Linked DNA regions of Coturnix japonica. The protein of the gene in region 1 binds, or shares a complex with, the protein of each later gene. Links are inferred from orthologs where the notes say so. Each region holds a gene or a part of one and is shown in the gene's direction. Other genes may lie near its edges. The genes, in order: NUP205, NUP85, NUP214, NUP160, NUP93, NUP107 and NUP188.

Evidence for each region.
Region 2: the proteins of NUP205 (region 1) and NUP85 are in contact, whole or in part, in a cryo-EM structure (PDB 7TDZ), measured with the Xenopus laevis proteins. The link is inferred for Coturnix japonica from reciprocal best matches to the Homo sapiens genes NUP205 and NUP85. Residues at the interface, in XP_041443600.1 of Xenopus laevis: Glu1477, Cys1480, Arg1481, Cys1484, Asp1485, Ser1517, Gly1518, Tyr1519, Leu1520, Lys1521, Val1522, Val1524, Asp1525, Ser1574, Gly1575, Gln1582, Gln1638, Gly1641, Gln1642, Gln1645, Val1648, Leu1690, Asp1691, Ile1692, Gly1693, Leu1694, Asn1695, Asp1696, Gly1697, Ser1698; in XP_041431608.1 of Xenopus laevis: Ala86, Glu87, Glu88, Ala89, Ser90, Gly91, Lys92, Ser93, Arg94, Lys95, Pro156, Pro239, Met240, Gly245, Thr246, Gln247, Thr248, Leu249, Thr250, Glu251, Phe252, Glu253, Leu254, Lys255, Trp256, Gln257, His258, Trp259, Pro315.
Region 3: NUP205 (region 1) and NUP214 share a complex: the UniProt entries of both Homo sapiens proteins name them as parts of the nuclear pore complex. The link is inferred for Coturnix japonica from reciprocal best matches to the Homo sapiens genes NUP205 and NUP214.
Region 4: NUP205 (region 1) and NUP160 share a complex: the UniProt entries of both Homo sapiens proteins name them as parts of the nuclear pore complex. The link is inferred for Coturnix japonica from reciprocal best matches to the Homo sapiens genes NUP205 and NUP160.
Region 5: NUP205 (region 1) and NUP93 share a complex: the UniProt entries of both Homo sapiens proteins name them as parts of the nuclear pore complex. The link is inferred for Coturnix japonica from reciprocal best matches to the Homo sapiens genes NUP205 and NUP93.
Region 6: the proteins of NUP205 (region 1) and NUP107 are in contact, whole or in part, in a cryo-EM structure (PDB 7WB4), measured with the Xenopus laevis proteins. The link is inferred for Coturnix japonica from reciprocal best matches to the Homo sapiens genes NUP205 and NUP107. Residues at the interface, in XP_041443600.1 of Xenopus laevis: Gly1247, Gln1248, Arg1249, Pro1250, Ser1458, Arg1506, Gln1507, Leu1983, His1991, Gln1995; in NP_001091312.1 of Xenopus laevis: Gln134, Glu136, Pro189, Tyr282, Tyr283, Gln770, Ser772, Phe773, Thr774.
Region 7: NUP205 (region 1) and NUP188 share a complex: the UniProt entries of both Homo sapiens proteins name them as parts of the nuclear pore complex. The link is inferred for Coturnix japonica from reciprocal best matches to the Homo sapiens genes NUP205 and NUP188.

Annotation. Positions count from the first base shown.
Region 1 is NC_029516.1:43,443,467-43,446,966, reverse strand, and holds part of NUP205 (nuclear pore complex protein Nup205), read left to right. Parts: intron 1-292; coding exon 293-450; intron 451-1,890; coding exon 1,891-1,971; intron 1,972-2,533; coding exon 2,534-2,725; intron 2,726-3,261; coding exon 3,262-3,500. UniProt on the Homo sapiens protein: Plays a role in the nuclear pore complex (NPC) assembly and/or maintenance. May anchor NUP62 and other nucleoporins, but not NUP153 and TPR, to the NPC.
Region 2 is NC_029533.1:9,354,953-9,358,953, forward strand, and holds the start of NUP85 (nuclear pore complex protein Nup85), read left to right. Parts: upstream 1-1,201; 5' UTR 1,202-1,300; coding exon 1,301-1,333; intron 1,334-1,419; coding exon 1,420-1,715; intron 1,716-1,890; coding exon 1,891-1,961; intron 1,962-2,438; coding exon 2,439-2,482; intron 2,483-2,909; coding exon 2,910-2,979; intron 2,980-3,173; exon of another isoform or gene 3,174-3,333; coding exon 3,334-3,455; exon of another isoform or gene 3,456-3,923; coding exon 3,924-4,001. UniProt on the Homo sapiens protein: Essential component of the nuclear pore complex (NPC) that seems to be required for NPC assembly and maintenance. As part of the NPC Nup107-160 subcomplex plays a role in RNA export and in tethering NUP96/Nup98 and NUP153 to the nucleus.
Region 3 is NC_029532.1:4,680,661-4,684,160, forward strand, and holds part of NUP214 (nuclear pore complex protein Nup214), read left to right. Parts: intron 1-354; coding exon 355-425; intron 426-746; coding exon 747-810; intron 811-1,083; coding exon 1,084-1,187; intron 1,188-1,371; coding exon 1,372-1,478; intron 1,479-1,871; coding exon 1,872-1,938; intron 1,939-2,541; coding exon 2,542-2,665; intron 2,666-3,500. UniProt on the Homo sapiens protein: Part of the nuclear pore complex. Has a critical role in nucleocytoplasmic transport.
Region 4 is NC_029520.1:538,830-542,329, forward strand, and holds part of NUP160 (nuclear pore complex protein Nup160), read left to right. Parts: intron 1-501; coding exon 502-600; intron 601-853; coding exon 854-973; intron 974-1,288; coding exon 1,289-1,384; intron 1,385-1,492; coding exon 1,493-1,587; intron 1,588-2,274; coding exon 2,275-2,371; intron 2,372-2,470; coding exon 2,471-2,576; intron 2,577-2,658; coding exon 2,659-2,819; intron 2,820-3,302; coding exon 3,303-3,363; intron 3,364-3,500. UniProt on the Homo sapiens protein: Functions as a component of the nuclear pore complex (NPC). Involved in poly(A)+ RNA transport.
Region 5 is NC_029526.1:559,046-563,039, forward strand, and holds the start of NUP93 (nuclear pore complex protein Nup93), read left to right. Parts: upstream 1-1,194; 5' UTR 1,195-1,305; intron 1,306-1,585; exon of another isoform or gene 1,586-2,495; intron 2,496-2,506; exon of another isoform or gene 2,507-2,591; intron 2,592-3,120; exon of another isoform or gene 3,121-3,387; intron 3,388-3,994. UniProt on the Homo sapiens protein: Plays a role in the nuclear pore complex (NPC) assembly and/or maintenance. May anchor nucleoporins, but not NUP153 and TPR, to the NPC. During renal development, regulates podocyte migration and proliferation through SMAD4 signaling.
Region 6 is NC_029516.1:31,995,756-31,999,255, forward strand, and holds part of NUP107 (nuclear pore complex protein Nup107), read left to right. Parts: intron 1-293; coding exon 294-342; intron 343-1,511; coding exon 1,512-1,583; intron 1,584-2,070; coding exon 2,071-2,159; intron 2,160-3,008; coding exon 3,009-3,087; intron 3,088-3,500. UniProt on the Homo sapiens protein: Plays a role in the nuclear pore complex (NPC) assembly and/or maintenance. Required for the assembly of peripheral proteins into the NPC. May anchor NUP62 to the NPC. Involved in nephrogenesis.
Region 7 is NC_029532.1:4,036,956-4,040,455, forward strand, and holds part of NUP188 (nucleoporin NUP188 homolog), read left to right. Parts: intron 1-196; coding exon 197-277; intron 278-747; coding exon 748-792; intron 793-1,324; coding exon 1,325-1,417; intron 1,418-1,557; coding exon 1,558-1,677; intron 1,678-2,094; coding exon 2,095-2,306; intron 2,307-3,005; coding exon 3,006-3,120; intron 3,121-3,500. UniProt on the Homo sapiens protein: Component of the nuclear pore complex (NPC), a complex required for the trafficking across the nuclear envelope. Required for proper protein transport into the nucleus.

The DNA of each region.
Region 1 (3,500 bases):
CCATCTTTTTAAGTCTCAGAAAAAGACTGCAGGAGAAACAGACAGTTTTTAAGAGTCAAAAATTTAGTCGTATAGTCACAGTGTATATGTAACAGAGAACAACAGAAAACAGCATAGTTAACAATTTAAGGCTCTAGAAAATGTTCTTAACCCCCCTATGCAGATTGATAGCACTTTAAGATTTGAATTTACAGAGGTAAATAGGTCTCCTATCATCAGCTGTTCTATTTAATTTTTTTTTTCCCTCCCTGTGGTATTTCGGAAAACAATTCAAATTGTTTTGTATTTACAGTACGCAGGAAAATCTTAAGTATCTTGGATTCAATTGACTTCAGTCAGGACATTCCAGAGCCTTTGCAACTGGATTTTTTTGACCGTGTTCAGATTGAGCAAGTCATTGCTAACTGTGAACACAAGAATGCACGTGGGCAAGTGGTCTGCAACGTCAAGGTGTGCAATCTTTATTTTATTAATAATCTTTATTATTATTAATTTCTGTGACTGATCAGTTTAAGAGTTATGCTTTGAAAGGTCATATTACACAAAGAATGTAGCTGTATACAAACTGTTTGGAAATTAATTTATATTTTCTTCTGTATTGTGTACAAAGATTTCTCATTAACACCTGACAGATTTTTCAATTCAAGATGGAATATTTTCGGTTTAATGATCTTCTCAGCTCAGAATAGATAAATGAAATTGCAGAAATGACTTCTACATTTCATGTTTCATTGTTCTGCAGTACGCAGCTGTGTAGTACTGCATGTGTGCACGGTTCTGTACATAAAATACTCATGTACTGCAGTTGTTCTTAAAGGCTTCAGTTAAGATAGTGTCTTATGGGGATGAGTACTTGACATGTATATAATATGAGGGCTGCTGTGAAAGTAAGGCCTCCTATTTTATTATGTTGCCCCGCAGTGTCAGAGGTGGATGTTGGTGGAATGGTATTAGAGGCTAAACCTTCCCACCCACATTTCAATGTGTTTTGTTGCCATGCAACAGATGGCAGCAGAGGGGCAGACTGACAAAATTATGTTTGATATGGAAGCACAAACAAAGCAAAAGTATGTCACTAAATTCCTCCATGTGGAAAAAATTGCACCCATTGATGCTTGCTGAACAGTTACAGAGGTCAAACAGTGGATGTGAGTGCAGTGAGGTGGGTGGTGCGTTTCAGCTGTGGTAATTTGAAAGGAAAGCTGTATTCTGGATGGCCACACACAGCTGTCACAGCAATAAATAAAGAGCATCTCAATCAGCTCATCCACGCAAATTAGCTAATGGTGTTATCTACGTTGAAAAAGAATGTTTTGTCACTGAGAATTGGCTCTATCACAGTGTTATTGTGCTCTTTGTATCTGCTGTAGTCTCCATGGAAATAGGAGGCATTATTTTCAGAGTGACCTAGTAGGTAGACCTGAAAAATTTGTGATCTAAAAGACACTCAACAAAGCAGGAGTAGAACAGAATATCTAAGTGATCTTGATGGCAATGAGAAAACTGCTATTCCACATTATGTCATAGGCAATCTACTTTGTAAATGTGCTTTAGAGAGGTGATGAACATTTATACCTGTGCAAGAGGTCTGTAGTGACTGACAGGAATAGGGAGTATGATGTTCTGAAAGAACTGACAAAAAGACTGAACGATTTAGGAATGGAAGGAGATGAATAAGTGCAGAGATAAAAACTGTGATCAGCAAATAGAGACTGGACAGCTAAAAGTAGCTGGAGAATTAAATATGGGTGAAAACTAAAAAATGGGCGAGATTGATTTGAATTTCAGTCTCTCCAATTGCATTTCTTACTATGTAGCTACCTCCTAACTACTTTTAAATCTTTGCTATTATTAAAGTTTTTTATTTTTAATAATCCTTTCCCATTTCAGCATCTTCACAGAGTTCTGGTTGCAGAAGTCAATGCCCTGCAAGGAATGGCAGCAATAGGTCAGAGACCTTTACTTATGGAGGTAAGAAAATGAAACAGTAACTGCTGTTGTTTCTCTTGGTGAATTTCATAAACTATTAAACAGTAAGCTTTACCATGAAAACCTGTATATTTGAATCCTGAACTTTGAGTTAGTAATTCCTGAAGGGGAAAAAAAAAGAGAAACTAGTTCTTAATGTACTGTTCTCTGTTTGTCTTGACTGTCTTGTAGGAGGTACCAGTTTTATTTCTGCTTTCTTCTACACAGTTAGTTTCTTTGAACTTGGAGGATCTTAGTTATTTTTTGATGTTCCTACTATCTTTTAACTTTATGTGCAATTGGTGCAGTGGATTTGAAAATGGAAATATGAGAGATGACCAAAGCTCATATGAGAAGAAAATACATGGACAGCTTTTACCTCAGTTGTCTGTTTTCATTTCAAAGGTGTACATTAAAATTTCCTTCAATTTTCTAAAGCTTAAGACTTACCCATTTTTTTCCCCAAAGACTTACTGATAGATTAAAACTTGTAATCATGAAAGCTGTCTTTGTCGTTATCCTCTTTTAGCATATTGTAACTCAGTTTCTTTATCATGGTGGTCAGGAGATCAACACCATCCTGCAGTATGTAGTGGAACGGAATAAACTGCTGCAATGCCTTCATGCTAAGAAGCATGCTTTAGAGTCATGGAGGCAGCTGGTGGAAATTATACTGACTGCCTGCCCCCAGGATCTTATACAGGCTGAAGACAGACAATTGATTATCCGTGATCTATTACATGATGTTCACGACAAGGTAAAGCCTTATTGGAAAACAACTCTCTCCTTGAACTTTGTTGCTTATCAGTACTTCTTTTGAAGAGTGAAATCGTTGAATGAAGCTTCATAGTAGAAAGAGTAAGGATTCTTTAATTAGAAATAGCTGTGAGGGGCTAAAGTAAATACTTTTATAACTGTAGGGAAAGGCAATAGCAGATAACCAGTTCTAAATTATCCAAAAAAGGGTGATGGTCACAATCCAGTTAAAGAAAGAAAGATTTGCTTACCCATTCCAAGGATCAGAGCTCATCAAAGACTCCAAAAGGAGGAATTTCCAGATAGAGATCCTTTCCTTGTGGCAGTCAGCCCTGAAACAAGGCTTAGGGAAAGGTTTAACCCTGATTGCTTTCAGTGTTCTCCCAGGGATGTCCCTTGCCAGGTGTTCAATCATTGGTTGAGGCTGTGATTTAGCAATTCCCATACAGTAACTCATGAAATCAGACATTTATGGATATCTTTTTTTTCTTGTTTTCTTCTACTACTGCTTGTTTGTTTGTTTTCTTCTATGTTAAGATCCTAGATGATGATGCAGCTCAGGAGCTGATGCCGGTGGTGGCAGGGGCTGTGTTCACCCTCACTGCCCATCTGAGCCAGTCTGTGAAAACAGAGCAGAAACAGCCACTTGCAGTCCCAATGACTGGGCAGTCCCAATATATCTTGATGTTGGATGGTTCTTTTACCTCATCACCTGGCTCTGAGAGCATATCCATGGGTTTTGCTTCCATTGGCGACTCTTCACTCCACATCATCTT
Region 2 (4,001 bases), on another chromosome or scaffold:
AAACTTGTACACTGGCCCTTAAACTAATATATGGGATTCCTATTGCTAAGGCAGTCAGCCTACAGCACCTTCTCAGCCTGAACCCTGAAGGGGCGAGTGGCTTATTCGGATTTTGCTCTTCATTAATACTAGTGTAGCACCAGGAGCAGAAAAGCATTGCCGAGGTGATTGCCTGTCTCATGCTTCCCCTTTCACGATGCTTATCCTCCTTGCCTTCTCCCAAGCTATGAAATTACTTTCCAACCTTCTATTTTGTAACCCTTTATTCCCTTCCTCATTAGACCTCAAAGTTTTGCTGCTTTCTCCCATCCCCAGAAAACAGTCGTGTTCTTTTGGCTGAACCCAGAGCTGTAGCTCTCAAGTCTTTTTGAACACTGTGTACTTCCACGCTGCCATTCTGGTTGTAATTCGATTCAGTTACAGACTGGTCAGGCACAAGAGCCTTTCTGAGCCAGAGTGCAGGCTCATCTCTCTCCTAGATACACGCAGACCTCCAGCCAACCTTCCAAGAAGGACTAAGACACTGCAAACTAAACTTCACCTCTGCCAAGGTCATTTCCCTCGGCAAAAGTCACTTTCTCAAGGGCAGCAGGAGCTGCAGCCATGAAAAGCTACTGGCGTTTTTAGTCAGTGAGCAGAGGGGCTGTGTCCGTCAGCACAAAGCAGGAAAGGAGCTGCAGCTTTACATCAGCTTGTAGTTTTTCAGTCTTTGCACTGGATGGGATCCTGAGGCAGGAGGACACTGTCCCATTCCTACACCCTCACCTCAGACATCAAAACATCCTTCAACACAACGACGAAAAGGAAAATAAGAGCAGTGAGACCAACAGACACTGCCCAGGGCTCGGGCCTCTCAGCAGCGCTGGTTCAGGCTGAGCAGCACCTGCCTTTTTACTGCCCGTTACAGAGCGACCGCGGCGGGACAGCGGGACACGGCGGGACAGCGGGACACGGCGGGACAGACAGGTGGACACGACACAGCTCCGCTCCGCTCCTGCCGCGTCCCCCCCGCCCCGCTCTGCCATTACAGCGGCCCGTCCTCTCCTCCCCTCCCCTCCTCGCGTCCTCCCCCGTCCCGCCCCGCCGGGGCCTTCAATGCCGGCGCTGTTTCCGGGGCGACCGGCCGCGCCTGCCCCGAAGTGTCGGAGCCCCGTCGGTCCCGAGGGCCCGAAGCGGAGCAGCCCGCAGGGAGCCTCGCTGGCTGCCGGCTGCGGGTAACGCTGCGGAGCTCCGCGGGGCGTTGGGCAGCGGGGCGGGCAGCCGCCAGGGGCCTCAGCGCGGGCGGGAGCGCGGCGTGGCCATGGAGGAGCCCGAGACGGAGCCGCCGCTGACGGTCAGGGCCGGACCGCCCGTCCCCGTCCCTTCCTTTCCCTTCCCTTTCCTTACCTTCGCCCCCCGCTCTCCTCTCCCTTCCCGCAGGTGGTGCCGGGCGCCGACCCGGCCCGAGCTCAGCTGTGCTTCGAGTGGGGCCCCGCCGAGATGCTGCTGTGCGAGACGCTGTTCGGCCGGGGCGGCAGCGCGGGGCCGGGGCCGGCGGGATGCGGCGCTGCGGGCGGCGGGGACGGAGCGGCGGGTCCGTCGCGCGTGTTCGTGGTGCGCAGGGATCAGGACATCTACATGGAGACGCTGCGGAAGCTTTTCAACGAGTCCCACGGCATCTTCGTGGGGCTGCAGCGCTGCGAGGAGGAGCGGGCTGCCAGGGCGAGGAACGCGCAGTGAGTGGGGCCGGAACAGCCTCCTTTTGGGTGCTGAACAGTGCGTGGGACCCTGCACAGCACGGGCAGCACCCACCAGGCTGACCCTGGTTCTGGAAGCATCCACGGATGCACAGAAAAGGGACCGTAACCGAAGCAGTATCTCTCTGTAAACGATCCTTTTTGTGTTTGGCAGATTAGTCCAAGTGAGTAAAAACTACCGCTCGGTCATAAGAGCCTGCATGGAGGACATGCACCAGGCTGCCAGTAAGTCTGTTGCACTGCAGTAAAAAGATGCTACTTGTGATGATAAAAATAAGATTTCTCTTGGAAGTTGCTATAGCTACTGAAAAACAGCCCATATAAACTTCAGTAATTAACAGGATTCCATCTTCCATCATTGAGATTTCCATGTTGGTTCATCATCTCGTAACTGATTTTGGGAAGACTTGCAGTATTTTCATGTCATGACTTGTGGTTTTGTGGAAAAATGAGTCAAATTCACCAGCTTGCTCCTCTGAAACAGTGAGAGGACTCACTGTGTCTTAACATCCTTGTCCTGTAAATATACCAGATTTATAAAGAGTTCTGCAGGGTGAGCTGAGCTGTATCAGCTGTGCACACATCTGGGGCTGTACCCAGCGAGCGATCAAGGACTGTATGAATGAGCTCAGAAAGTTTTGTTGTACCTGTAAATATGCTGCTTTTTATGCTGCTTTTTGACTTGGTGTATTTTTCGCTCAGTTTCAGCCCGGGACTCTGCCCTGCACAACCAGTACAGCATTCAGGTAACGTACAGTCACATCCACGTAGTTGCATGAATATTGGTTAGTAAAGCCACAAAGACCAACACCGTGGCTGTAGTTTGTTGTTTGAACAGCACTGATGTTGCTTAGTTTGCCTTTAGTTCCTTCTGTGCTCTCTAACTCTCAGGAGATTAAAAAGGCTTCAATTAACACTTTCTGCACTGTTCTGCATTTCCCTGAGGAGCGATTACTGTTGCATTTCAATACACAAACCACCGATATTTTCTAAAATGGATGTGTATAGAGAAGTTATGGCCTGTTTCTGTCTTTTGATTATCTCTGGAATATCAATGTGACATTTCTCTTGTCTACAAAAACCCATCTCTGTGGGCAGCACATTCAGCTGTGCACTTAAAATTAAATAACAGGAACAATTATGACCCTGAAACGCAGCTCTGCTTTTTGTCAGGTTTCTATTCTCTCTGCCATGGAGCTGATCTGGAATCTGTGTGAGATTCTGTTTGTTGAAGCAGCGCCAGGTGAGCAGTGAACAGTTCTGATGTTAAGCCTGAAAGTGGTCTTGTTTGCGTAATAATCGTTTAAAATGTAGACAGCGTGCGTGGTGCTACATCTTAATGCTTACTGTGGAGTGTATGACAAGCAGCACCGAATTCTGATACCTTTTCTGCCTCAGTAAATTGCATTTTTTTGTATTAAATTATATCAGGATGCATTCTACTTTACACTGGCTTATTTATTTATTTCTCACAGAAGCATAATAAACAAAAACTTGTTCCCAGTTTATTTGACCTTAAAGCATAAGAACCTTCTTAAATTAACTGCCTGGGGACAAACAGTTTGGGAACTAACAGTGATACCTTCTCTGTGTAAAGCTGGTCCTCTCCTGCTTCGTCTCCTTGACTGGGTTCAGCTTCACATCTGTGATGTAGACAACATGGTCCGTGAAGTTCTGAGCAGCGAAAATCCATCAAAACACAAACTCTTCTGGAACGTGGTGAGTACAGCCCCCTGTCAGACGTTTAGATGAAGTCGTGCCTGTGTGTCTCGCATTCCTCTTCTCAGCACTGTAGCACATCTCAGAAACTGATACCTGAGATGCTGCTTCTGTCTTTGTAGTTTTAAGATAAAGCATTGTCAAGGTCATAGAATCACTCAGGTTGGAAAAGACCCGAAGGGTCATCAAGTCCAACTACAGCCTAACCATGCTACCCTACCTACCCAACAGCCCTCCGCTAAATCATGTCCCCGAGCACCACATCCAAATGGCTTTTAAACACATCCAGGGACAGTGACTCAACCACCATCCAATTTCATGATTCACAGAGGTTGTATATTCAAATTAGCAGGGCCTAGAGTTGAAATCTTGTAACTCTACTTGGCTTTCTTGAAGATTCTCCTGATATTCCACCTGGGTGCGTGGTAGCCCTGCACAGCTTGGTACTCACAGACGTGCTTTCTGCAGGTGGATATCTTCGTACTGCAAGGCCGAATGGATGAAGCACGGCACTTGCTCTCCAAGGAAGCCACTGCAAATCCCGCA
Region 3 (3,500 bases), on another chromosome or scaffold:
TTAGGCCTCTGTCTATAGTTTTAACTCGTCCAGATATACTCGTGTCAACTGAAGTGTATGCTTGAAATGTGACTGGATATATTCCACTATAGGGCAATATAAAGCTGCACAGGGGCACACGGGAGTGAAGCTGAAACATGTTTGCAGCTTAGTTAGTACGAGGTTTAAGAATTTCAGCTCTTTTTTCAGTTTGTGACCTAGAAGACAAGACCATGATATTCACAGGAATTGTATTTGTATCCATAGGGTTTTGCAGAGGAAAAACAATGCAGTTTTAATTTATGGGCCCTGCTTTAAGGGACCTCGTAATTCTACATTTCCTTAATGCTGATGGAGTTCTCTTTTTTTCTTTAGTGTGTTGGAGCCCGAAGGGAAAACAACTGGCTGTAGGGAGGCAAAATGGCACTGTGGTACAGTATCTGCCTGTAAGTGTTGTCACTAAGACACTCACTAGTTTGCTATATGCTTCAATTTTTTGCATGTCAGTGTACAGAATTTGAGTTGGGTGGCGTGTGTTGTGAGCCATGCCCAAGCACTTCAGTAATATTAAAGTGTCTTAGACCAGTGCTGGGTTTAGTTTAAGGTGTGCATCTGCCACTTAAATGTAGTGAGTTAACCATGGCACGTGATGAGTGTTAATGAGGGAGTGAGTCACTATAAAACAGTTCTCTGGAGTTCCTCTGAAACTTACAGTTTAGTTGTTTGGGGGCTTTTTTCGTAGTACTTAAGAGTGTTTTTATTTGCAGAATCTGCAAGAGAAGAAGGTAATCCCTTATCCTCCCTTTTATCAGGCAGACAATCCTGTTAAAGGTACATCTTTTTGTTTATTTTTAACTTGTTTCCTCCTTTAAAATACTTTCACTCATTCATCCACTGTTACTGCTTGTTACATCACATTCATAGTACCCTGGTTACATAATTCCTCCTAGTATGACTGATGCTAGATTAATGATTCTTCATCTTTGTTGTTTAGCAGTTAGTGATTCCTTATCTGCTAGCAATGCCATTGTACATTGTAACTCACACTACAAGGAAGTGTTTTGGTGTGTATCTGACTGAGGTATTTGTTTCCTTCTCTTCCAGTTTTGGATGTGCTGTGGATTGGCACCTATGTCTTTGCTATTGTATATGCTGCTGCTGATGGGACGCTGGAAACACCTCCTGAAGTGGTTGTAGCAATATTGCCCGTAAGTTTCCAACAAGTCACAGCTACAGAGAAGTTTCTTGCTTGTTCTTTCTGTTTGTGACAATGGCACAGTGTATATTGCCATCATTTGGATTTTGAGTTTACTGTACCTTGATGAAGCCATATTTACAGGATGTTACTTAATTTCTACATTGGGCAGTAAATAATTAATGCTGGTCTTTCAGAAAAAGGAAGAGAAGCGACCAGAGAAGTTTGTGAATTTCATGGAGCCTTGTTATGGAAGCTGTGCTGAAAGACAACATCATTACTACCTCAACTATGTTGAGGAATGGTGGGTTGTGAGAATCATGATAAAGCTTTTCCCTTGTCATGCATGTCTGAATAGTCTGTTTCTCTCCCTTCTGTAAGCTATATAAGACCTGAATGTGAGCCAAATGAAATTGCCACTTTGAGAATGTTTTATGAATGTATGTGTAATTTCTCCTTTATTTTCATGACAACATACACTGATGACTAATTTTAAAGGAGGAAAAAAAAAAAGGCAACCATTCTACAGAGACAGAGCCAAATGTGTTTCCTTCATCCTGGGAAGGAATAGTCTGCTTCATACTGTTGTAACTCTTTTGTTATTTATGAATTTGGATAGGTAATAATGATTTGCAGAGCTAGAGACCTTGCCTGGATTGTTATGCATCTCGTAACCTACTGGTGTCCATCCTTACAGGGATCTAATTCTGGCAGCTTCGGCCGCTTCCACAGAAGTCAGCATTCTTGCTAGGCAAGGAGATCAGGTAATGCTTTTCTTCCTGCTTCATTTATGTATGCATACCTCCTTTTTCTTGAAAGCCTAAACAAGTAAATCTTTAGTAAGACCTGCAACATGACAGTGTGGTAAGCTTTTAAAAAGCAAAGCAAAAAGATAAACACCAAAACCAAGCAAATAAAATCCAAAACATTCAGGTTGTGCAGAATATTAAGGTAAATGTAAGCCTTAGAAGAACACAAGATCTGAGTTACAGGAAGGATAAACAGAATGACTGTATGTTGTGAACCAAGTTCCACAAGTCTGCTTTTCATTATTTACTTGGTAGTCTAAAAATGTGGTTAAATTCACTGTAGTAAAAAGTGACTCATATGAGGTTGTCAATTGAAGTAGAATATGAAGAATTGTTCTTGAGTTTGACTTCAAATCTGACATGCAGTGCTGTGGAAGAAGCGACAGCCAATTCTGTGGGGGACTCTGGTACTTCTGTTGTTTATTTATCTGACTAGTTCAGGTGGATACTCTCCAGACTTCTTGCCGTCTCGTCCTTCAGTCGTAATAGACAAATGTATTAAAGAAGGTTCAGCACAGGAAAACAGTAGTCAGAATAATATCTATTATTGTTTTGCAGAACTGGGAATCATGGATTTTGGAGGACTCCAGCAGAGCAGAACTTCCTGTGACAGATAAAAGTGATGATACTTTGCCAGTTGGTGTTGCTGTAGACTACACTAATAACATGCCTATCCCGATCAGTAAGTCGTGTTAGTCTTGTGAAATAGCCTAGTGGTAGCAATATAGGAGGTATTCTTGAGAAGCAATCCAGTGCTTTAGGATTATTCTGAAAGTGGGACTAACACATTATCAGTCCTGCATTTCTATGGGAAGCCTGCAGCACATGCACAACTACATCTCTGTAAGGATTCAGATATTAGGTACAGTTCTTCCTGAAAGCTTGCTGCAGATGAGGATGCTGCAGTAACAGACGTAGAGTGGAAGGCACCTCAGGTTTGTGTTTCACAGAACTGGGGTAATTATGAGTTTAAAAGAGCCATATTCTATTAGGGATTTCACTCTGCCTGTGTGGTTTTCATGCTGCTTGTAGCTTCTGTCATTTTGCAGAACTTTTTATTAAGTATGTTTGCAGTGGTCTAAAGGGGAAATAAAAGGTTGGTTACAAAGCAAGGAAGAACAAGGATCGTTGAGGTGAATGTGTAGGTTTTAATTCTGCTTTATAGCACAGGGCCTGTACTAACTGAACCCTGCTGTGCTTTGCATCTACCTGGTTACGTTACTGGTGTACCTCCTGTGCTGCCTGAAGGCTGTTCAAATCTCATTGTCAGAGGCTGGAGTGGAAGATACATCTGAGCTATTGTGCTGTACCTCAGTGAATTCTGAAAGCTCTCTCTTGCAACCAAGAGACATTAAGATAGAGATGCCTTCAGGCAGAGTGAAAGGTAGTGCAGTCGTGTTCCTGAAGAGCACAGGAGGGTGCCGATTAACTGGAAACTGCAGCAGCCTTTACCTGAGTGACAACCTTCAGTAGGGAGTTGAGGTCAGACTTTAATGCAAAATTGAATTTGAAGCATT
Region 4 (3,500 bases), on another chromosome or scaffold:
GGGCTCGCTGATCCCAGCCAGTCACGTAAACTTGGATTAAGTGTGCTGACCTCAGAGAGCTAACAACAGCTTTGAGCGTGCATGCAGTGACCCAAATAGAGGTGAAGATGCAGCAAGTGCCCTGCAAGTACCAGGCAGGCACAGAGAAAGTCTAGTGGCCAAAGTGCTGCCCTGGAATAGGTGCCAAAGCTCTCCCAGCAATCTTAGCACAGCTCTGCTTCTCAGTGCAAAGAACAGCTGGTGCTCTCTCAGCTACTGAGTCTTCGTCATGTCTTCTAGCTCCCTCCTGATCAATGATGCTGACATTTTTCAGTTTTTATGTTATCTTGATGAAGCAGGCACAGGGCCGTGGTGAGTTCTATTGCCCTGTGCTATGGCTTTGAGTTATGGTGTGTGCCATAGGGAACGTCCTTCTCTCTCTGCACACCAAGGGGATGTTGAGGTTGGGAAATGATCCTGCCAGGGGTGGTGATGAAAGCTCCACTTTTTCCTCTCCTGTAGGAATACATTCGCCTGTTGCAGCCATGGTGCCATGTGAACATGGGCTCCTGCTGCTTCATGATGGGCAGGTGCTACCTCGTCATGGGTGAGGGCCATAAGGTAAGGCACCGTGGTTGTATTTGCTGTTGGGGCCTTGTTCCCTGTGTAGCTCAGGGAACATTGATCTGTCTCTGGGCAGGGAGCAGGACTGGGGGGCACAGTGGGACCTGCTGTCAGGGCAGTTCTTGTTGCAGCTTGGGGCCAGCAGGACCTGTAGGATGAAGCTGAAATGGGCTGCGGTGTCCTCTGCAGTACAGCAGGCTGGGGCAGTCCCCAAAGGCACAAGCTCAGCTGCTCTTTGCTGTGCTTCCAGGCTTTGGACTGCTTCTGCCAAGCTGCTTCCGAGGTGGGAAAAGAGGAGTTCTTGGACAGGCTGATCCAGCCTGAGGAGGGCGAGATGGTCTCCACCCCACGCCTGCAGTACTACAGCAAGGTACGGCTCAGTCCGTCCAGCACATGTGGTCCCCACCAGTGCTGGTGCCTCCGGAAAGGGAACTTTGCTATCAAGCAGAGTGTTTGCTCGGGGATAGCATCATTCACCTCTGTGTTGCAAGGGCTTCCTGGAGCCGTTGAGTGTTCAGGGAACTCACACTTGTGCAGAGGTTGTTCGTCCAGTAGGGCCTGGACCTGTTCTGCTGGATTTGGTTCACACCTCTGCAACTTAACGCTTCTCTTTTTTGGCTCTAGCCGCTCAGATACGGTGGCCAAGTATCTTGATTACTCATATGGCTGGAGTTGTCACTTACAGGTTCTGCGCTTGTTGGACATGGTTGGCTTACCAGAGCTGGTCATCCAGCTGGCTTCTCTGGCCATCATGGAATCAGCAGATGACTGGAGAACCCAGGTACAGTTTCCTTCTGCACAGAGATGCTTCTTCAGGGAGCTACCATAGGAACTGTTTCTTGGTTGCATAACTTGCAATGTGCTCTTTTGTGCTGTGTGGTGTTTTCAGGCTACCTTGAGGACTTGCATCTTCAAACACCACTTGGATTTAGGGCACAACAGTGACGCATACGTCGCCTTAACACAAAACCCAGATCCAAGCAGGTAGGTGACAGCTTTGTGCTCTTAGATGCTCTCTTGTCTTGGAGCTCCTGCCTTCTCCAGGTTTTGTACTGAAGCAGAAGGAAGCTGGCACCGTAGGGTAGGATATGACTGCTGCATTAAGAGGTTCTGTGTGAAAATACCTTTAAAGAGGCATACTAAGAGCAGTTATAATTGGCAATACGTCCAAAGTGGAAACTGAAAGAAAACATAGGGCCTTATTCAGGGAAAAACCAGAAACAAAATGGCTGGAGAATTGCATGCAGCGTTACATTTGGGAGGGCTCTAGCAGTCTGATTAACCTGGTTTACTACAGGAAAGAGACTTGGGATGGAATTTTGTCTTGCGTACCTTCTTAAAGTGAGGTGTGTAGAGGAAGCTTTGCAGCAGCCAGGAAGAGTGCAGTGGGCAGGAGGGGCTAAAAGCTGGAGTTGGGGCTGGGAGTTGGTATGGAGGCCACATAAAGCTTCACCAAACAGAGCTGGGGGTGGGGGGCTGCCCTCCTGAGCAACACAGGCATTGCGGAGACATGTTCTGCTAATCTTTGTTGGCAACACAGGAGAAACCTGAAGGGACCTCTTGGTTTGAAGCCAGTAAAACCTTTGGCTCTGATTCCAAGGCAGCACGTTGGTGGCTCAAAGCCTGCATCCCTATGGTGGGTCAGCTCAGGGCTGTGCTTTCCCTCTGCAGGCAGCTGGACTGTCTGCGCCAACTAGTGGTTGTGCTCTGCGAGCGCTCCCAGCTCCAGGATCTGGTAGAGTTCCCCTACGTCAATCTCCATAATGAGGTAATTAATTAACCTGCGCTGGGAGGAGGATGGGGGGGTGGACACACACAACTCCTTCAAAGAGGATTTTTGACCTATTTGAGCCTCTTTTCATCGCAGGTTGTAGGAATCATAGAGTCCCACGCTCGAGCAGTGGACCTGATGACCCACAATTACTACGAGCTGCTCTACGCTTTCCACATCTACCGCCACAACTACCGCAAGGGTGAGGCATGGGACGGAGCGGCCCCGTCCTATTCATCTTGCTCCAACAGCAGCACAGCTGATGCATCCCCTCCTCTCCTCAGCTGGCACGGTGATGTTCGAGTACGGCATGCGCCTGGGCCGCGAGGTGCGGACGCTCCGAGGGCTGCAGAAGCAGGGCAACTGTTTCCTTGCAGCCATTAACTGCTTACGGCTGATCCGACCCGAGTACGCCTGGATAGTGCAGCCAGCGTCTGGAGCTGTGGTAGGGGATCTGTGGGCTTGTCAGCAGCCCTTGAGCTTTTGGCTGTAGGGATGGTCAGGGCTGTGCTGGGTGAGGTTGCTTCTGAAATCCTTCGCAATGCAGCTCAATGAGAAATGTGATATACAGAGTATTTGTAACCTCCTGCAAGGTCCACAGGGAGGAATGTAGCACCTCTTGTTAAAGATAAGTCAGATCTTGAGCAGACTAAACAGCTGGAATTCCAATCCAGGGGAGAATTACACAAACATGGTTTGTATTTCCGATCTCTTTGTAGAGGGGAGGTGGCTGTAGCCTGACCAGCCAATGCTGCGCTGTGTTTGATAGCCACAGATAAGGAAACGTAACCTGAACTGATAAGCAGTTGCATGGCTCCTCATTCAAATCAAGGCTTGAGGGGAAAGCTTAGGGCTGGAGTGCATTGTGCTGATTTGTCCTTCAGAAACCTGGGCATCAAACTCTTATTTTCTACTTCCTTACTGCAAGTATGAGCGGCCTGGAGCATCCCCGAAGAGAAGCCACGATGGAGAGTGCACTGCAGTCCCCAGTGAGTGCCTGCTACTGACTTCTCCCCATCTCCTGCATCCCCACAGCTTTTCCCCTTGCCTCCTGGGAGCTCATCTATGGTGGATGGGTTAATCTGGGGGTTGTAAGCACGTGCACTCAGTGTTAGCATCTCCTAGC
Region 5 (3,994 bases), on another chromosome or scaffold:
CAGCCCGCCTCGCCTGTAAATAGCTGCCATGCTTTGGGGACAGGGTGGGGGGTGATGGGGGCCACAAACACAAAACAAAGCTTATTTTTACATGTTTTGTACCTTCTGTGCTGATGGAGGAAATAAATGAGTTTGGCTGAGCCCTGATGCTGCTTGTGACACGTGTGTGGGAGCACTGGTGCTGGGGGCTGCGCCAACCCCCTGTGGGCTGTGGTTTGAGGGGACAGAGTGGTGTCGTGCAGTTGGGGTGCTCTGTTTCACAGCCCCTGGTGAGTGGGGGGCTCAGGGTGCCACATGGGGCAGGTGTGAGCACAGCCCGGCCGGCTCCTGCCCTGGGGGGGCAGACAAGGAGGGGGGTGGGGGCGTGGGAAGGCGCCTGGCTGCTCTTTTCCTTCCGAATACACCTGCCAAGCGAAAGTTGGCCCTACCTGTGCTGCAGGGCACAGCCTGCCCACACATGTCTGTGTGCTGTGTGCTCTGCTCCTGGCCATGCTGCCTCGTCCCATGCTCTGCGGGTGGGGACAGCTCGTGCCCTCCAATGGGGCTGGGAGCCGTGTGGGGTGGGTGGCCCTGAGTCCCCGGGCCCCTCGCTGGGGTGGTGCTGGAGATGGGAAAGGGGCTGCCCCGCTCAGTGTGTATTTGCCTTGTAAATCAGGGCCTGGGCTCCTTCCCAGCCGTGCCCCGGGTTGGAGCAGCCCCCAGGACGAGCTCTGGGGGCCGTGCCTTCAAACATGAGCGCTGTGGGAAGGTGTGAGGGCAATGTCTGCTGAGGGGAGCTGGGCTGAGGGGGGTGTGCGGCCCGGGGTCCCTGCAGGGTGGGTTTTTTAATTGAAATCAAGTTTTTCTTTATGTGAGTGAGTGAGCCTCACATCCTACATGGCACAATGGACACAAGTGGGGAATGGGGAACAGATGGCTGTGGGGGTTCAGGGCAGCGAACAGCCGTACTGATGGCAGTCTGCAGGCGTTCCGCTTTTCGTTTATAGTGTTTTCATCTCTGACCCCCGGCCCCGCGCGGCCGTCGGGCCGTTCCTCATTGGAAGAGGCGGCGGGCAGCCTCGAACCCGCGTCTCCCGGCTCACCGCCCCCATAACCACGCACAGCCCGCGCCGCCTCCCAGCGCCTCAATCACTTCTTGTCGCGAGACGAGCTGGAGGGGCGGGACTCAGCTCGACAACCAATGGAAATGCGTAGCGTCAGGAAGCGCGCCGGCTCGACCAATGGGCTGGCGGGGAAGGGGGAGAGCGTGGCCAATGGTGGCGCGCGGCGCGGGCGTGCAGGCGCGGCGGCCGGAGCGGCGGGCAGGTGAGTGAGGGGCGGTGGGCGCGGCGGGGATCGCGGTGCGGGCGGCCTCCGTCCTCCGTCCTCACATCGTTCTGCTCCCCGGCTCCTGAGCTCGGCGCTCCCTGCCCTGGGCGGGCGCTGAGGCGCGGGGCCTCCTGTGAGCGGGTGCCCTCGGGCCGAGGCAATGTCTGCCAGCTGTGCGGGCCGCTGCCGGGGGTCCGGGCCGGGCTGTGTGAGGGCTGGAGGCGGGGGGAGATGCACGGGGTGATGGCGGGTGGGGCCGACATGAGGGGACCGAAAGGATGGACTGACTGGGAATGGCTACATCAGCTCGTGTGGTTCCTGCTTGTTCCTGCGGTGCTGATAGCAAAGGAAAGATTGTGGGGAGAGGATCCGAGCTACAACATAAGGAGCGTGAGGGGAGTGAGCAGGGCAGGCGGCACGGCAGTGCAGTAAGACCTCAGAAACAGCTGGTTTTATTCAGTTTGTGCTGTAAAAGCTCTATGAGACCAGAGCTTGGGAGCCGCGATCAAAGGGTTGGTAACTTACACACCTGCCTGCAGCTGAAGAACAAAGCATACAGGACTGGGAAATATAGGGATGGCAGCTGATTTAATTTGTGGGTGGTGGAATGAACACTGAGTTGAGGAGTTCGTTGCTGTGTGCTCTGTTCAGGACTTTCCTACATCCAGGGCACTGTACCAGCTGGAGCACCACATGCAGCTTGGAGCCCTTACGTGTTTGGTTTTAGTGTGGCTTGTGCTTTTAGCTTAAACCAGGAGGTGGTGTGGCTCCCTTTGCTAGGTTTGATTAAAAGTCGTGTAGCAGAGGGCAATTTGTGGACAACATGTAATAGATGTGTGGTTTGCAATCGGTCCTTTTCCCTTATAGAAGTTGAAAATGAGTCAGGGACAGACCTTGGGAGCGGGAGCAGGTGACCTGTGTGTGCTGCTGGTGGGGCTCAGTTGTCTGTACCATTCCTGCCCTACGTGTGCTCTGTTTAACAAGCTCATTGACAGTTCCTGCATTCTTAGAAAGGAGCTTAATATCAGTGTCTAATATCACGGAAGTGGCATTTTTCATTCATTCAAGATATACATGTATGTATTTTGCCGCCTGCTCTTTGCTTTCATACTCAGTCACTTACTCTCTTCCTTCCAAAGGGAGCGGATGCTGACTTGTCACATGGGTCTCTGGAGCACTCTGAGAGGGTAACGCTGGATTTCTTCCTCTTTGTTTTGTCTTGGGAAGAATCTTTTTGCCCCTGGTTGGATTGTACTCTTTATCAGCTCTTCTGATTGCAGTGGGTGAGGCTTCCCTCTGAATTTTTAGTCAGTCTCTTTAAATAAATTAATTATAATTAGGTGGCACAAAGACTGTCAGTGTATGAAGTACAGCAGACACTTGCTTACACATGGGAGCTCTTCAGCTTGAAGTCTTTATGAAGCTCATATGGTGAAATGTTCAGCATGGCCGTATTTGGAGTAGGACAGCACTCTTCATCTGCTAGCACTGCAGGGCCTGGCTTTCCACGACCAGCCGGCATTTATGGTCAGTCTGAACAGAATTAGAAACCTGTCATCATTTCTGATTTCATTTTGGCTGAAATCCAGCCAGCTTGTAGAGTTTGTAACATCTACATGCGGTTTTAAATGTTGGGAAAACATTAAATGGGGCTTTTATTGGACAAGCAATAGCAGACTAATGCAGCAGCTTCTATTGATAAGTCATCAAAGTCGTTTTACAGAAGGGCTTTTTCAGCCCTGGCTTCTAGCCCTGGGTCGATCCAGTTTCACCGAAGTTAGTTTAATTTCTGGTGTATTTTCTCTCCCTTAGGTGTAAGTTGTTGCACATTCTGCAGCCAGACACAACAGTCTGCTGTCATTTGCTCGTCCCTGTGGCAGCAGTTTTCCATCTTGCACAGCGGCATTTGGAGTCAGACTGCAGCCTCCTGAATGCAGTAAATTCTGACAGCATGGAGACTAAGTAGTTCATGCTGTTACCCGGTCTGGATGTTTGAAGTCTGTCCCTTGGAACACGCTGCTGTTTGAGCTCTAGAGAAAGGTTTGAGCTCTCATTCCCAGTGTTTGGTTATAATCAAAGGTAGTTGGAGTTGCTTCAAATTAACAAGTTTATTCTATATTTGCTGAATTCAGTCTCTGTTTTCCAGAGTCATTACGGTTGTCCTACCTTGGCAGATTTGTGGGACAGCCTGTATATGGAATTGACTTGGGATCCGTGCTTGACAATTGCAGTCTGTGGAGCTATTTGTAGTCCCCTGACTCTCTGTGCTTTTGGTTTTAGAGCTCTGAGAAGTCAGTGCCTTCTCACACTCTTGGCTTTTCATCTTGTTCTTAATGAGAAGAGGAAGCAGACTGATTTGAATCAAATCAAGCTGAAGTCTGTGCTGCTCCTGCACTCACTGCTTCCTGCTTTCTAACGGTACAGGAGCGTGGCTGTTGTGGTCAGCCTCTGCCAGTGCAGGCAGCTTCTGCTGGGGCACACTGAGGTATCACAAGTAAACACTGGAAAGATGCTCTGTACTGCATTGCAGAGCATGGAACTGCTGCTTTCCACCACGCCCCTCTCTCCTCCCAGCCATCTCAGTGGCATGCTAGTCTGTTCAAACAAATCCAGACCCTGCTGTCTCTCCTGAACAATAGGTCAGTGCACATGGGGTTGCTACGTCCCCTAGCAGCTCCTGGTTTTC
Region 6 (3,500 bases), about 11 Mb from region 1:
CTCTTCACACTGAGATAACCTTAGACATATTGCATGCGAGAGAATAAGTACAGAGTAAAGGAACTAAGTGCCTATTTCTTTATCTGTTTATGGACCTAACTGCTGATCGTGATGCCTATTCACTATCTATTTATGGGAGTTGAAAGTTGTTAACAGCCCTGTTGCTACTTCCTTAACTTGTAGTATTTTTAAACACTTGAAAGGTATTCTTAGTGCTTTTGCTTTTATTCTGCATTCTCCTGAATTGTTTCAGCGTTATTTTGGTAGTTAAGGTTTTTCACTTTTATTTCTAGAGACAGAATACAGTCTGCACTGGAAGATGAAACTGCCTTTGAAATCACAGTAAGTTTGAGGGAGAAAAATAGTATTACTGTTTTTAAAGGATGCATTTTAAAGCTATAGTCTTGTGTTATATTTTTTTAATAAGCTCAGTATTGCAGCCACTCAAAATTCAAAGATAAAAGAAAGTAAAGATGAGATTGATTTAATAACTATCAAGATAAATACTAAATTATTCTATATATAGTTAAATTCACCTTTTATGATATATTTGATTCCAAATTGAGAATGCTGGCTTAAACATTTGTATCAAGTGTATTTTGTTTTATTTCACCGAGTATTCCTCATGCCCTTGGAAAATCAACTGGAAATAACGATAGATTTATATTTAAAAGTTGTATCCGTAGTGATAATGTTCCCTGGGGCAGAGATGATTCTGCTTTGCCTAGAAGAACATGTGGTCTCAAGCTGTCTGGTGCTCTGCAATCCTGATTCCAGTTTATCTCAAGAGAAATCAAGTTTTTGGAGTGTTCTTGTTTCAGCTGTAGTCTTCTTGTCTGTGTCAATGCAGTGCTTCCAGCCTTTGCTGCCAGAATGTGCCTGGGAAGACAAAACAAGAAGTAAAGCAACTCAGCCTTTGTGAAATTTACGATTGTAGTTGCTTTTTTCTCAGTCATGAAATAGCTTCCTCCTTGATTCCCACTGCTGAGTTGTCAGTGCTTTTAAATTAAACTCTGCTCTGCCAAAAAGAGTCTCTTCCTATCTGTCTTTTTTAGATAAACGCTTGTATTCTTCAGCCTTTGTTGTAAGAAGTCCAACTTAATGCAGGAGAGCAACAAGAAAGACCAGGGTTCTGGGCTGGTGTGTGTATTTAGTTTTGTTTTCCATTTGTTCGTGTCTAGTGCTCGTATGAGCTCTGTAAAAATGTCTGGCCTTCTCAACATACAAAGTAGTAAACTGGATTTGTGGTAATGTGAGAGCAGTCAATGGAGTTGATGGATCTACTGTGTAAAATCTTTCTGTGACCACACATTTGAATCGTATTATCAATCTTAGTGTGACAGAAAGTAGAGCATCCAAATAAAACAGATGTGTGGCATCATCTGTTTCTGAAAAAGGACAGGGTAGGGGGTGAATGCCAAGTCAATTTTGGAAGTTAAAAACTGTTCAGATTGATGTTTCTATGGTAAGTTTTCTTTTCCACCAAGTGATGATGAAGTTTTTCTCAATAGGTTTTAAATGCAAGCGAAAAGATGAATGTAGACAACTTGTTTCAGAAAGATGCTCTTGTTCGACAAAGCCAGGTAAGAGAATTTTTGTGGTGAGAACGGAAATAGATGAGTAAACACTTAAATATTTATGAAACTAATGTTACATCAGCTTTAGAAAATATGAGCTCTGTGTATTTTATTAAGCTGTGTCAAGTAACTATTTCTTTATATTCATCTAGGCCTGTGCAGCAATATTGCTCCTTGATTTCTAGAGATCAGAAATATTTCAGGCTGGGCTGGAGAGCATAGAAGGCTGAGAACTGTTCCAATTTGGATCATCTGCAACTGTTGTTACTAATTAAGGAGCTATTAAATAGTGCAGTAGTAACTGCAGCATCTAGTGAGAAATATATCAAGTGCCAAAACAAGCTTCAAACTGGGCACTTAAGTTGAGCTTTTTCTTAGGATATGTACGCCTTGGATTACTGTGTAGATATCAAATAGATTCAGAGATGAGAGAAAGATGGAGTATTATTTATTGTGTGTTTGTTCTAAAAAAAGCTATTGAATTTCATTCCAGCTGGTGGTAGATTGGCTAGAGAGCATCGCCAAGGATGAAATTGGGAACTTCTCTGATAATATTGAGTTTTACGCAAAATCTGTGTATTGGTGAGTTCAGACTTTTGATTGTATCCATGCTTCCTCAATTGTAATATTCACAGAACCAGACACAGAATCAGTCTAGAACCACCTAAGAAGTTGGTCCATTCATTCATTTTTCCTTAAATTCATTGATATGAAAAGTGAGCTACTCCCCAGTTTGGCTATGTCTTCTCAAAAGTCAGATACTGCCTTTGGGAGGAGCAGGTGACAGGAAGGTTGTGAAAACAATTTAATTTAGTTTTACATAGATGACAGTTTAATTTTTCATCAAAAAGACATCAAAAAGATGGTCAGCTGCTGATCAGCAGGTGATAAAACTGTTCTCATGTGTTTCTCTTCTGTGCTCAGTTCTTTGTCTGGCTTTTGAAGTTCGTGTCATCACTTTTTACCATTTATCCTTCACCAAAAGTAATTATTGTCATCTTTATTACCAGCCAAGGATTTTAAGGCAGTAGAGAGCAAAGTCTTCTTGATTCTAGTTCCTATTATAAGCATTGTTTTAAAGACAGGTGAACACAGGCTTCTGGAATCGTGTGTTCATCCTAAGTTGTATTTCTATCCAAGACCGATAATGCTGAACACTAATGGGAAATCTTGTTCATGCAGAAATGGATTAATAGTTCATATACATTGAAAGTGGTTTTGAAAGAAGTCAAAGCCACGTGCATTGATTCCAGTATTGTACTTCTAATGAAATTGTACGATAACACTGTTCATTGATGCACAAACCAAACCAAGCATTCCTTTCTTGTAACCCTATTCCAATTATCCAGAAATATTTTCTAATTTTAATGTCTTATTAAAATGTTTGCTATTAATCCCTTCTTTCTCTCAAAAACATTTCACTGCTCCCAGGGAGAATACGCTACATATCCTGAAGCAGCGACAGTTAAGTACATTCATTGGAAGTTCTCGACCTCTGGTAACAGAATTGGTAAGTGTTATTTAAATATAAGACTTGGTTTTGGGCATAAAAGCCATTCAAAATGCTTTGCACAGAACACATATGCTGTTTTCTAAAAATGGGTGGAACGGGGCAGTTTTTGGTATCTATAAATTGTTGTAGTATCTAAAAATGACAAGGCATTAAGTTGGAAAATCAGTACAGAAATGGTGAAGCAGTAAGGAGGTCGCTGATGAGAGGATATTAGTGAATGCCAAAGTTGGAAGTCGCTGGATGATTAATATAATGATTAAAATTATCAGATCTTGATATATTTGTTTTAAATAGAAGCAAGTACAACTAGTGTGAAAAGGCTGCTGAGAAGCTGGAGGAGTATAGACAGGTAGATTGATAAGCAGAAGGGGAGAGGGCTTTTAAGGTGGGAAGAGCTGGAAGATGAGAGG
Region 7 (3,500 bases), on another chromosome or scaffold:
CCTAAGTGACATCAAGGCTTGTGTATTTTGCTTTCAACTGAAGTGCTGATTGAAACAAGCATCATCCTGAAAGGCAAAAATATGCTATTTTTATTTATTCTGAAGAGAAATTCAACCTGAAATATTTGGAGAGAATCTTTAATGAATTCAGTTACCTTTTGTTCATTTCAGAACATCTCTCTTTTTTTTTTTCCAGGGTCTGGATGAAGAGCAGAGCGTGCAATTATTACAGTGTTATCTTCAGGAAGATTACAGAGGAACGAGGGACTCCCTGAAGGTCCTTAGCTCCCATTTATTTCCTGTTCACTATACACCTGTCCACAATACCAGTAATCTGTTGATGAACACGATCATATGCAACCCCACATTCTGAATTGGAAAAGACTGTAGTTTGTGTTCTCTGAACCTGCGGTGGCCAATTACCACTGTACAGACGTGGGACAGCAGAAGTTCAGGTCTAACTTTCTGGTCCTCTTCCTGCTTGAATCTGGAAGGATTTGGCTCATCTCTGTCTCAGGAGCAGAGGAAACCTACAGATGTATGAATGAGAGTGGGTGGAGATGAAGAACAAACATTCACAATTAAGTACTTAGGTTTTGTCATTTTGGAAACAGTCTTTCCAAAAGAAATGGAAAGAAATTTTTTCTTATTTCTTTCATTTGTGGAGTATTTGTTGTTTGTTTTTGATGGTATTTGTCAGTAGGTATTTCTGCGGTGGGTAATCATTTTGTTATGCTTTGCTTACAGACAGTTCTTCAGGATGAAAGGCAGAGTCAGGCTCTGATGTTGAAGGTTAGTCATTTCAGCTTATATTTTCTATTGAAAAGATCTGAGAACTGACACTTTGTATTCAGAAAGCCTCGGGGTGATGGCAGTTTTAGGATTAATGCTGGGGAGTTCAGCTGTCAGGCAAATGCTTCCACATATTCCAAAGTGTGTGGGTTTGTATGTTTCTGTCTGAAGGGACAGCTCTGGAAGGGAGGCTGATCGTCACACCTGGCAGTAGATTACTAAAGATTAAGAATAGAAGATTGTATCTTATTTTTGCCTTTCTTTTCCAAGTTTCATTGGATAGTATAATTACAGACATCCCAACAACTTGTTTTATTGAATTCTGTTAAGTAAATTAAATTCTTGTGGTTTTTTTTTTAATTATTTTTTATTATTTTTATTTTTTTAGATAATTTAAAACTGCTTAGTTGAAATTCCATCTGTAGCAGTGTTTGAGCTCTATGTATTCTGGTGCTGAAGGCACTGGAAGAGGAAAGTGAATTGGAGTTGAACGCAGTAACAAACTGATGCTGGTGCCGTTATGTATTCACAGCTTGCTGACTATTACTATGAAGAGAGGATCTGCATTCTGCGCTGTGTCCTCCATTTGCTCACTTATTTCCAGGATGAGAGGCACCCTTATACAGTGAGTACTGGAACCTTCTCCTGGATGTCATTGAAATAAGCTAAATATGTAAGCTGTGTAGTAATTATCCACCTGTGACTATAAAAACCACACAAGAATGTATATGGAAGTTCATTTATTTATTTGTTTGTTTATTTAAGGCACAGTACTTCCAGTGTATTGAGAAGCTGGACAAGGAACTTGTTCCTAATTACCGTAAACAGTTTGAAGAACTGTACAAAGCAGAAGCTCCTACATGGGAAACACACGGAAATCTCATGGTATTTTTTTTTCCATGCTCTTCTATATAACTTCCCAAGTATATCTGTCTAGCTTAGAAAGTCTTTCTTTATGCATGTTGAAATGTCTGCATGCAGATGTAGCCTATAAGATGGTTCTCTTGAAGAATCTAACTGCTATTTTCTCTTTAATCGAGCACACTTTTGCATAGAACCAAAGCAAGCTGTTTGAAACACATTGTTCCATGTAAGAAATCTGTTGATAACAGTCAGCTATAACAGATCAATTACTGTAGCTCTTCATAGTCTCTCTGCATCAGTACCCTTGCAGTGGCTTTTGTTATTAATGCAAACCACCAACTATGCAAGCATTGAAATAGCTCAGCCCCTCTTGGTTTCTGATTGATTTTTCTGATCTCTGAGCTTTGATGCATGATGGTGGGACTTCTCCTTGTGCAGACAGAGCGTCAGGTTTCCCGTTGGTTTGTGCAATGTCTCCGTGAGCAGTCCATGCTCCTGGAAGTCATCTTCCTCTACTATGCGTACTTTGAAATGGCACCTGATGAGCTTCTGGCATTTGCAAAGTTGTTCAAGGAGCAGGGATTTGGCACTAGACAAACCAACAGGCACTTGGTGGATGAGAGCATGGATCACCTGGTGGATCGTATTGGGTGAGTAACGTATATCTGTAGAGTGAGTACAGAACAGTGCAGTTGTTTTCCTCAGTAATAGAAAAAAAAGAAAAAAGTGCTTATATTTCTTCTCTCTCTTAAGTCGTCACTTTAAAATCACCACTCTGAAAATGAAGCTGAACTAATTATGATGAAGGCAGAATGTCTTTTCTGATTGCACTGGACATTGGTGGCAAAATGAAGAGGTGATTGCAAAGCAGAGGGGCATCCAGATGCCAGCTTTAATTGTCTGTAGTAAGAATAGCAATTAAGACACAGTGCCATTTAGTTTCACCTTGACTAGTTATAAAGTGAAACTGCATCTTCACAGTTCTGTAGTGTGAACTGAATTGCCTTAGTACAAGCTGTGGGTCTGCTTATACAAGTGGTGATAGTGTCTCAGTTTTGCTGTGTGGGACATAGCTTAGGCTGTGTCCTGAAGGAATGAAGGGTCTTTTTGTTTGTTCAGTGGTAGTTTTGAACATTTTAAACTGTTCTATGCTTAGCATTTCAAGACAAAATTTGGATTACCTGCTGCTAATTTATTTCTTTAAAGAGCAGCTGAACCAATGCAAACTGAATGTTATTCTTTGACTGTCATTCTTTTTACATTAGAAACCAACTGAACAAAAACATCAGCTGAATTCTGATACAAAATGTCTCACCTACTTGATTTTTTTTCCTCTTTCCTGCTTGCAGCTACTTTAGTGCTCTTATTCTGGTGGAAGGCATGGAAATTGACTCCCTCCATGAGCGAGCTTTGGATGATAGAACAGAGGAGCACAAGTTAGCCAATAATTCACATATCCACCAGGTAAAGTGCAGGCAGGGTAACTCCATGTTCAGCCTGACAGAGTAAGTAAAACTTACTCTGGTTATCGAAGCAGTGCTGTTAAAAGATTATGTATAAAAGGTTCTGACTCTTGTGTTTGCTGGCCAAATAGAAGAGCTAGCATCCATGAAACTTGATGGGACAAATAAGAAGGAAATTAATTCTTCTCCCACTTACATACTTGATTATCTTGGGCCTTTCTTTAAAGAAAGGTGTGTGCAAAGTGTTAGGCAATGTGAGCTTTAAAAGTCTTCTGTTTCATACCCTTCTCAGTGTCAGGGCTTTTAGGACAGAGAACTTCTGAGGTTAAAAGAGCACAAAGTCAGTAAAACAAGCACACAGACCAAGACTGCACATGCACA